2 linked regions of the Oryctolagus cuniculus genome follow. The protein of the gene in region 2 purifies or fractionates together with the protein of the main gene of each other region. This does not show direct contact. Links are inferred from orthologs where the notes say so. Each region holds a gene or a part of one and is shown on either strand. Other genes may lie near its edges.

The links. Proteins that work in one complex are often made in the same cells at the same time.
Region 1: the proteins of KLF6 (region 2) and SP1 purify together in Homo sapiens (affinity purification with western blotting, with the first as the bait; 3 studies listed by BioGRID). This does not show direct contact. The link is inferred for Oryctolagus cuniculus from reciprocal best matches to the Homo sapiens genes KLF6 and SP1.

What each region holds. Positions count from the first base shown.
Region 1 is NC_091442.1:56,373,616-56,377,765, reverse strand, and holds the start of SP1 (transcription factor Sp1), read right to left. Parts: upstream 2,801-4,150; 5' UTR 2,386-2,800; coding exon 2,056-2,385; intron 1,731-2,055; coding exon 215-1,730; intron 1-214. UniProt on the Homo sapiens protein: Transcription factor that can activate or repress transcription in response to physiological and pathological stimuli.
Region 2 is NC_091444.1:92,835,051-92,839,314, reverse strand, and holds the start of KLF6 (Krueppel-like factor 6), read right to left. Parts: upstream 2,801-4,264; 5' UTR 2,622-2,800; coding exon 2,418-2,621; intron 1-2,417.

The sequences.
Region 1 (4,150 bases), on a different chromosome or scaffold from region 2:
AGAATTGCTCCTTTCACATCAGATTAACTGAAAAGTTTCTGTTAATTTAGTTCCACATGATTTCAAAAGAAGCACTGCTATTTCTCTAACTGACCAGCCCTGGGGCAAGTGTTAGCCCAAAAGGTGCTGTTCCCTTCTTCCCACTCCATAGTTTCAGCTGCTATGCTAGTCAGTTCATTATAAATGCAGACTTCCAAAAGACTCGAAGACTCACCTGGGGCATTTGCTATGGCCAACGGCAGGCCTGGGAGCTGGTGCACCTGGATTCCTGACGTACCCAACGCACTGAGGTTAATGGTCTGAAGGCCTGGCATAGAGGAGAGTTGAGCAGCATTCACAGTGACTGTGCCGGCAGGGATGGAGGCAGCTGAGGCAATGGGTGTAAGGGTGGTGCTGCTGCTGCTGGTCTGCCCCAAGGAAACACCCTGCATCGGGGCCAAGGTGATTGTCTGGGCCTGTGGGTTCTGAACTTGGAGGTTCTGCAGCTGAAGAGTCTGCCAACTGACCTGTCCATTGGGCCCAACGGTTGGTGTCCGGATGATGATGGGACCAGAGTTTGGAACAGCCTGCAGCTGGAGGTTCTGGAGGGTTTCCTGGGAGATGGCCTGGGTTGTAAAGGTCTGTCCTGACAACGGCGCCGCTTGGAGGGCCTGGAGGGCCTGTCCCCCCTGAACTAGCTGAGGCTGGATCAGAATCGGCTGTTGCTGTGTCTGCTGGTTTGGCTCTCCCTCCTTCTGCTGACTTGCCTGCAGGGAGCCTCCAGACGTCTGGTTCTGCTGGATGTTCAGCGCATCAGACCCCTGCAGCCCCCCGACCCTCTGGGGTGTCTGACCTTGAGAGTTGGTCCCTGACGATCCGCTGGTGGTGAAATTCATGATTCCCATGTTGCTGGTGGTAGTCGTCGTGGAGTAGCTGTTAGCATTGGTGAAAAAGGAGCTGGAGCTGGCTTGTGATGACACCAAACTGGCGGAACTGATGGTGGTCGTCCCTGAGGTGACGGGCTGTGAGCCACTCTCCTGGGACCCCGAGCTGCTGATGGTGACTGCCTGAGAGCTGGGAGTCAGGGTAGCTGCAGAAACGCTATTGACAGGTAGCAAGGTGATGTTCCCGTTCAGGGCCACCGGGACGTTGGTCACATACTGAGTCTGTCCTGAGAGCACATTATTGGCCAGACCTTGGAGGGGGACAGCCTGTTGAAGCAGGTTTGGCATAGCAGCGATGATGTTGCCTCCACTTCCTCGGTTTGTGATGATCTGTTGGTTTGCACCTGGTATGATCTGTATCTGACCAGAACCATCCTGCTGCACTTGGGCCCCCGTGGTGGCGAACTGCAGCTGCTGCCCATCGACGGTCTGGAATTGGGGGATTACTTGGTACTGAATGTTGGGCATCACTCCAGGTAATCCTGTCAGAACTTGCTGGTTCTGTAAGTTGGGGGTGGCAGCCACTACATATTGCCCACCAGAGACGGTGCGGTTCTTGGAAGACTCGCTGCCATTGCTGCCATTGGTATTGCTGCCACTCTGTTCCTTTGAGGTAGGGGTAGCCCCAGAGGAGGAGGAGATGATCTGCCAGCCATTGGCACCCTGTGAAAGTTGTGCGGCGGTGAGGTCAAGCTCACCTGTGCCCCCTGACTGGCTGGGGCCCTGGGAGTTGTTGCTGTTCTCATTGGGAGACTCAATTCTGCTGCAAGTTGCTGCCAGCAGAGCCAAAGGGGATGGCTGGGATTCCTGGCCAGAAAGGGGGAGATGAGAGGAGTTAGTGACACCCAGCCACCAGCCTAGGGGGCAGTATACAACAAATAAACAGCAACACAATGAAGATTAAAAAGGGGGGGAAAAAACCAACCCAAAAACAGAAAGGAGGTCCTATCGGTACTGCTGCAAACTACCATCTTTAGCGAATCTAAGTTCCTTGAGTCTCTGCGCTGGCTTCCCCATCTATAAAATGTAATCCTCTCCTAAAACTCTTCTGGGAAGAGTAAGCCAGTTTTCTACGAGTATTTACAACCATCCTCTCAACACCTCCCCGCCCCCAGTTCCGGCTGTCACTCACCTGCCCGCCTCCACCTCCTCCACTGCTGCTGCTGCTGCCCGTGCTGCTGCTCCGAGCCTGAGAAAAGGCACCGCCACCGTTGCCATTGCCCCCATTATTGCCACCAACTCCCTTTTCAATCTTCACCACTGCTGTCATTTCATCCATGGAGTGATCTTGGTCTAAAAAAAGAATGAAAAAGAAAAAACAACTTAGCGTGGGGGAAGGGGAGGAGGGGGTGGATAGAGTGCAGGAGAGTTTACAGAAGGCTATGATGAAACAGCAGTGACTAACAGGAAGTACAAAGAAAATGCATTGGGGCAGGGGGGAACTGCAAGGCACATGTGTCATGAGCCAGGCTCACGGCCACGAAGTTTGGCCTCAGGTTTTCCTTGCACAAAAATTAAACTCAGAAAAAGGTGCTCTGGGAATAGGCCACGCAGGCCCGTACAAAGGGTTTCAAAATAAGAAAACGTGTCCTGGGGGTAGAAAGGAGCAGGACAGGTAAGGCCAAACAACATGTGGGTGGATGGAAAGCTTGCTAAAATTAGGGACAAGAGCGATGGAGGCAAAAAATCCAAGTACAAAATGCACCGAGAGGAGACAGGGGAAAAGGGGGGAAGGAGAAACGGTAAGCGGGAGTGGGGAACCATTGGGGACCACAGGTAAGGGGATAAAGGGGTGCAGGAGTGAGCAATCAGAAGGTTTCGGGGCGGGGAAAGGGCGGGCCCTGGAGGGAAAGGGCGGTTTCGGGGTGAGGGGCGTGGAAAGGGCGGGACGCTGGGGGGGAGGGGAGGTCTACGGAAAGTGGGGGGAGGAGGGCCTAGGGGCAGGCGGCGACCGGAGGGCGGACCAGGGAGGCGGTTGGCCCGGGCGGGGCCTGCCCTGCTCGGGCCGCCCCCGCGGCTCCAGCCCCCCGACGGGAGGAGCCTGAGGCGGGAGGCCGAGTTGTGGGGGGTAAGGCCGTCCCCCCCGTGGCCGGGGCGGGCAGGGGGCGGGCGAGGCCACGCTGCCCCCTCCCCCGGGGCGGGCGGCCCATCCCCCTCCTTCTCGGAGGCCCCGCCACTGCCCCTTCTCCCTCCCTTCCCTCCGCCCCGGGCGGGACCAAGGCCGCCGCCGCCGCCTCCCGCCCGCCCCCCCTCACGGCGGGGACCGCCCGGTCTGCCCTCGCGCGCGCCCCCTCACTCCTCTCCCACCCCTCAGCGTGGAGTGGACTCATCCTTACCGCTCATGGTGGCAGCTGAGGGACGAGCTCAAGGGGGTCCTGTCCGGGGGGGTTGGGGGGGGCCGGGAAAAACGCGGACGCTGACGAGGCAAGCGAACCCGGACCGGACAGGGAGGGGGGGGGTAAGGAGGAGGGAGCAGCGCGCCGCAAGCCCAGCCTGGGCCCCGCCCCTTCAGTGCTGCCCCGCCCAATGAGGGAGGGGGAAAGGAGGGACTTGGAGAAGAAAGGCGGGCAGGCTATCCAATGACAATACTCACTCGCTCCCTGAGGCGTGTAAGACAAAGTTGAATGCCTGGTATCCGCCCAAAAAGGCCGCCCCCTCAATTTTCAAGGCCAATGAAGAATGCAGGAAGTGAAGGTAGGCGGGCGCTAGAGATGATAGGCTTGGAAATAAGCCAGTCAGCCAGCAGGCGGGATCCCTGAGAGGTAGCGATAGGAAGAGCTTCGATAGAAATGACACATCAATGACCAACCACAATCCGGGACGTGCCTGGGCAAAGTCCTGGTGGGAGGAGAGGTAAGAAATAGCCCGGAATGGGCTGGGCTGAAGCTGATCATAGCCAATCAGAAATCAGGCGGGCAGCCAGGAAAGTTATGATTGGGTAAATGCTGAAAAGAGACGGAAGAGGACGCATATTGACGTGAACTAAAAACCAATTAAATTCCGAGTGGGCTCTGTAGGCGGGAACTTAGAGTGGGCAGAGGTGAATTGGCTTCTCCCTCAGTTACTCAGGCCAATGAGGGAGCGAGGTGAGTCTGGCACCGCCTCCAAATTGGGCAATGGGTGTTATTTGGGCCTCCCATCATGAGGGAGGGAACTGGGCTGTGCCAAGAGAAGTCCGTCGCCATGTTGGCCCTCCTCTGGGGACGTCTTTACGGTGATTAGGTGGT
Region 2 (4,264 bases):
AAACAGGTTTAACCAGATTATCTGACACTGTCAAGAACCCTGGGTATTAAGGAAAGCCCCAGTCATCCATCCACCCTTCACAAACCACAGGTATCCACACAACAGGACAGAAAGACTGCACAGCACATAATGTGTTCGGATGGACCCCGTTGGGGACACAGCTGACGACACAGGGCCATACTCAGAGAACAGACAGCAACTAACTGTCTGTATTCAAGGACATCAATGGAGCTGCAGAGAAACCACCCATTTCCTGTGTAGCCCAGACCGAGTCCATTTTCAAAGAATGCCATTCCCAAGTGCAGGGCCATGCATGCCACAAAACTTTAATTGCTTCTACAGTGGTCAGAGAAAAACAAGAAGCTTCAACAACAGGAGTGGAGGAATCATTCCAGAATGGCCATCTGCTATTGTAAAGGAAGCAAGGGGGAAATTACTCCACGGCCCTGCTGGGAGTCCCACAATGAACAAGAACTTTATCTACTGGCCAAGAGTACAACTGTATGAGTCATCACTCCTATTTCTTTCACGCAATGCCAAAGGAGACTTCCTTTTGAAATTCTGACCAGCAGCCAAATAAGGACCCGGTTCAAATATACATGCAGTGTGTCATGGACAGGGTGCCCCTCCCCAGCCCCACAACCAACCTTTCAAGAAGCTACAACTGCCGAGATCAGCATCCCCTCTCCCCACCATTTCAAACTTTCTAGCCACTGGAAAAGAAAAATGGTAGGAAACATTTTAGGATTAAATGATGTCTGCCCTGATACTCACTAGGATCAGTTGCCTGCATGCCCATATAAGGCTGGCTGTACTACTGGCAATTCCACACACTGAAATTGCTACACCAAGCTGCTCTTTTCAACAAATCATTTGCAGGGCGCGCACCGTCCTGAGCACAGGCTACCCAAGGGGTTCATGCTTACTTAGCAGTGTGCCTTCTATTGTAATATATGCACATCCTGCCCCCTCCCCACAGACTCATCAAAACAGCAAGCATGAGCAAGCAAAGGGGTAAAATCATTGTTTTCTCTCTCCCCCTAAAATTAGATGTCTGAGTTACAGTGCATACGAGAGTGTTCCAAAGAGAGGCGGCGATGTTATTTTATTGATGTTCCAAAGACACAGGAAAGCACATTTATTGCGATCTTGTTAAACTTTCATAATCTGGCTAATTTAAAATCTCCATTATCCTGATGAGCACCAGGGACCTCAACCAAGCTCTCAGAGAGTTTAAAAGCCTCTGAAGGCCACCAGGAGCCAAGTCTGGCTAGTTGCCCAAATCCCAAATGCCCGAAGGAAACTACTTAGATCAATTTCAATCACGTCCTGTCTTTGAGGAGGAAAAAGGGGGGAGGGGGAGAGGAAGGCAGGAGAGGATCGGGAACAATTAAGCAGGCATCGGAAGGCTGCAACACTTCGCATTTCATCCTTCTTAAAAGCTTTCTAGACTTGGAAACCCACAGAACCTATTTGATCAGCTAATTCACTCTGTGACAAAAAGCAAACAGCTCGTCAGGGCAGAGACACAACACGGGGACCCTCCTGCTATCTTTTTATAGACAATGGGGCAAGTGTTGGAGTCTCTCTCCTCAGGCAATCCGAGGTTTTTAGAAGGAGAAAAAAAAAATTAAGTTTCTAAAATTCCCAATGCCCCACATTCCAGTTCCAGTAAAATGCCGGAAACAGGGGTTCTTCTTCCCAAACTAAGACTTGAGGCAATTAGGAAGGGCTGCCTGTCATATGACTGACAAGTCACTGGTGTGTGCAAACAGTTTTTTTTTTTTTTCCTGGTCAACAAGAGAAGCAAGTAAGAAAAATAAGACAGAGCTAGGTTCATGTTAAGAATTCCAAACAAGGAAAACAAATGGGAAATGCCCTAGATCTATGTTTCGTTGTCAAAAATGTTAAGATTAAAAAAAAAAAAAGCTGTATGGATACACACCAAACAGCAAAACAAAAACAAAATCTTAAAAAAAAAATGCCTTGGCAGTCCGTGCGAGTGCGTTCATATGACAACGTCCAGCTGTGGAGTTTGGACCCGGTACAAACGCCAGACTCGTGCCAAGGGCTCGGGCCGGGATCAGGCCGAGGAGTTCGGGTTTCCCCCGGGGTGGATGCTCCAGACGCTCGGGTGGCAGGGAAAAAACACGCCGGGCACCGCGGAGCCGGGCTCGCTCGGCTCGGCTGTCAACTCCGCGGCGCGCTGCAGAGCGACCCCCGAGCGTGCCGAAGGGCGCTCCGAGATCAGGATTTCCATGTTTTTTTGTTTTTGTTTTTTTTTTTTTTAAATGACTCGAACCACAGCAATCATCCTCATCCAAAGCTGCACCTCCGAGCACACACCACCCTGCCTGGCGCCTCCACGCACTCCCTCCTCGGCGCCCTGGACACGTGAGAAAAAAATCCCTATTTACCTGTTGCCAATATTCCTCCAGGGACGGGAGAGCCGAGAAGTAGCCCGTTTCGTGCACAATCTGGAGTTCCTGGAAGATACTGCACATTGGGAGCACATCCATGTCGGGTTGGAAAAGACAGTCCCCGCTGTCGGGAACACGGGGAGGTGTGCGTTCTGGAGTCGGAGCCGAAACTCTCCCCGCCAGGGCAGGTGAAAGTTTCATGCAAACTCAATCAGACGCCCCGGTCCGGACCCTCCCGCAGCCCGCAGCGCGCGCGCGGAGCCCACACAATATTTGCAAACACCGGACTGACTGCAAACGTAACCCCTGCAAAACTTCCCTATTCAAAGCTCCTCTGCCAGCCTCCCCCCTCCTCCCCGGGCTGGCTCCCCCCACTCCCCCTCCCCCCACGTGACTCGCCGCGCGCCCGCCCCGCGCGCTGCCCAATCCGGTCGCGCCCGGTCCGAGGGCCGCGCGCAGATGATGTCAGCTCCGGCCAATGGCGAGCGACATCGCGCAGCGGCCCCGCCTGGCGTGACCGAGCCTCTCCATCACAGCCCTCCTCATTGGCTCAATTCGAACTCTGCCCTCTCTGATTGGAAGGCGGCCTCGCAGGCTATTTTTAGCAGGGTATATAAGACGCGGGCCGTCGCGCGCCGGAGGAGTCGGTGCTGGGAGGTGCGCGGCCGAGCGCCGTCGTCGGCCGGCGGTCGGGGAAGCCGGGCTGAGGGAGCCGCTTTGGGGGGAACCGTGCCGGACTGCGCCCGCCCGGGCCCCTGCGTATCCGTCGGTGTGACCCTAGCCGGGCCCGGCCGGGTCCGGCAAAGCACCCTACGCAAGCTTGCTCCCTGGCGGCCGCTCCGTCCGTCTTTGTCCCACTCAGCTGCGTCCGGTTCCCCTCCGTTCTCACACCCGCGGCGTCCCACGCGGTCCCTTTCGCGCTGGTGCTCCGTCCCCCTCCCTGTGCAGCGCGCGGGGCCGCGCTGGCCTCCGCGGGCTGTCCCTGTCTCCCCCGGGGTCCCGGCTTCCGGCCCGTCCCTCTGTGCGTCCCGCTCCGCAGGACTGCTGCACGGAGCCGGGGAGGGGGCGCGCGGGGCGCAGGTTTGCTGAGGGGACCGCAGGGTCGGCTGGCGGGGACCTGGGGGACGGGTCGTGGGCGACCCTCCACCCCCTCCCCCGGGACCCTGCGTGAGGGGAGCCTGGGGCCCGCCCCCACCCGAGGGTCCCTGCGCTGCGCTGCCCACCCTGGGGCCGGCGGCGGGCACCGTCAGGTGCACACATCGGTTGAGCCTGAGGTTCAGGAAAAGGATCGAGGAGCCAGTGCGCTCAGATTCTGTGGAGCGAAGCTTACCTCTGCTTGTTAGAAACGCAGCGTCTAAGGTCTCCAACCCTGCTCGTGTGTTTTCATAAGCCCCCAGTAGTGCCAGCTGAAGTTTGAGGACCAGGCGTGTATAGCTTAAACGTCCTTTTGTTTGTTGTCATACAATAACCCTCATTCTGTGAAAATGCGGTGTTTACTTCTGATTGGAAGAAATCTGTTTATGTTGCAGAAGGCAATCTCAAAGAACCCTCACCAAGGTTAACAACTAGGTTTTCCCACGAATGTGTAAACAATTCAAATTAGGTTGAGACTCTCATTCAGTGTGTGTGTGTGTGTTTAATAAAAATTATCTCCTAAAATACACTGTTATGTTCATCTTAAAGAAAAATTCCAGGAACATGAAGAATAAGCATTTTTAAAATTCAAAACAGAAAACAATTATAACCACTAATTTAGAATAGAGTGTGATTAATACCCTTTTTTAAATATTTCTGAAGAAAGGTGTATGTAAAATAATTTTAGAAGATCTCGTGTATTAAATTTG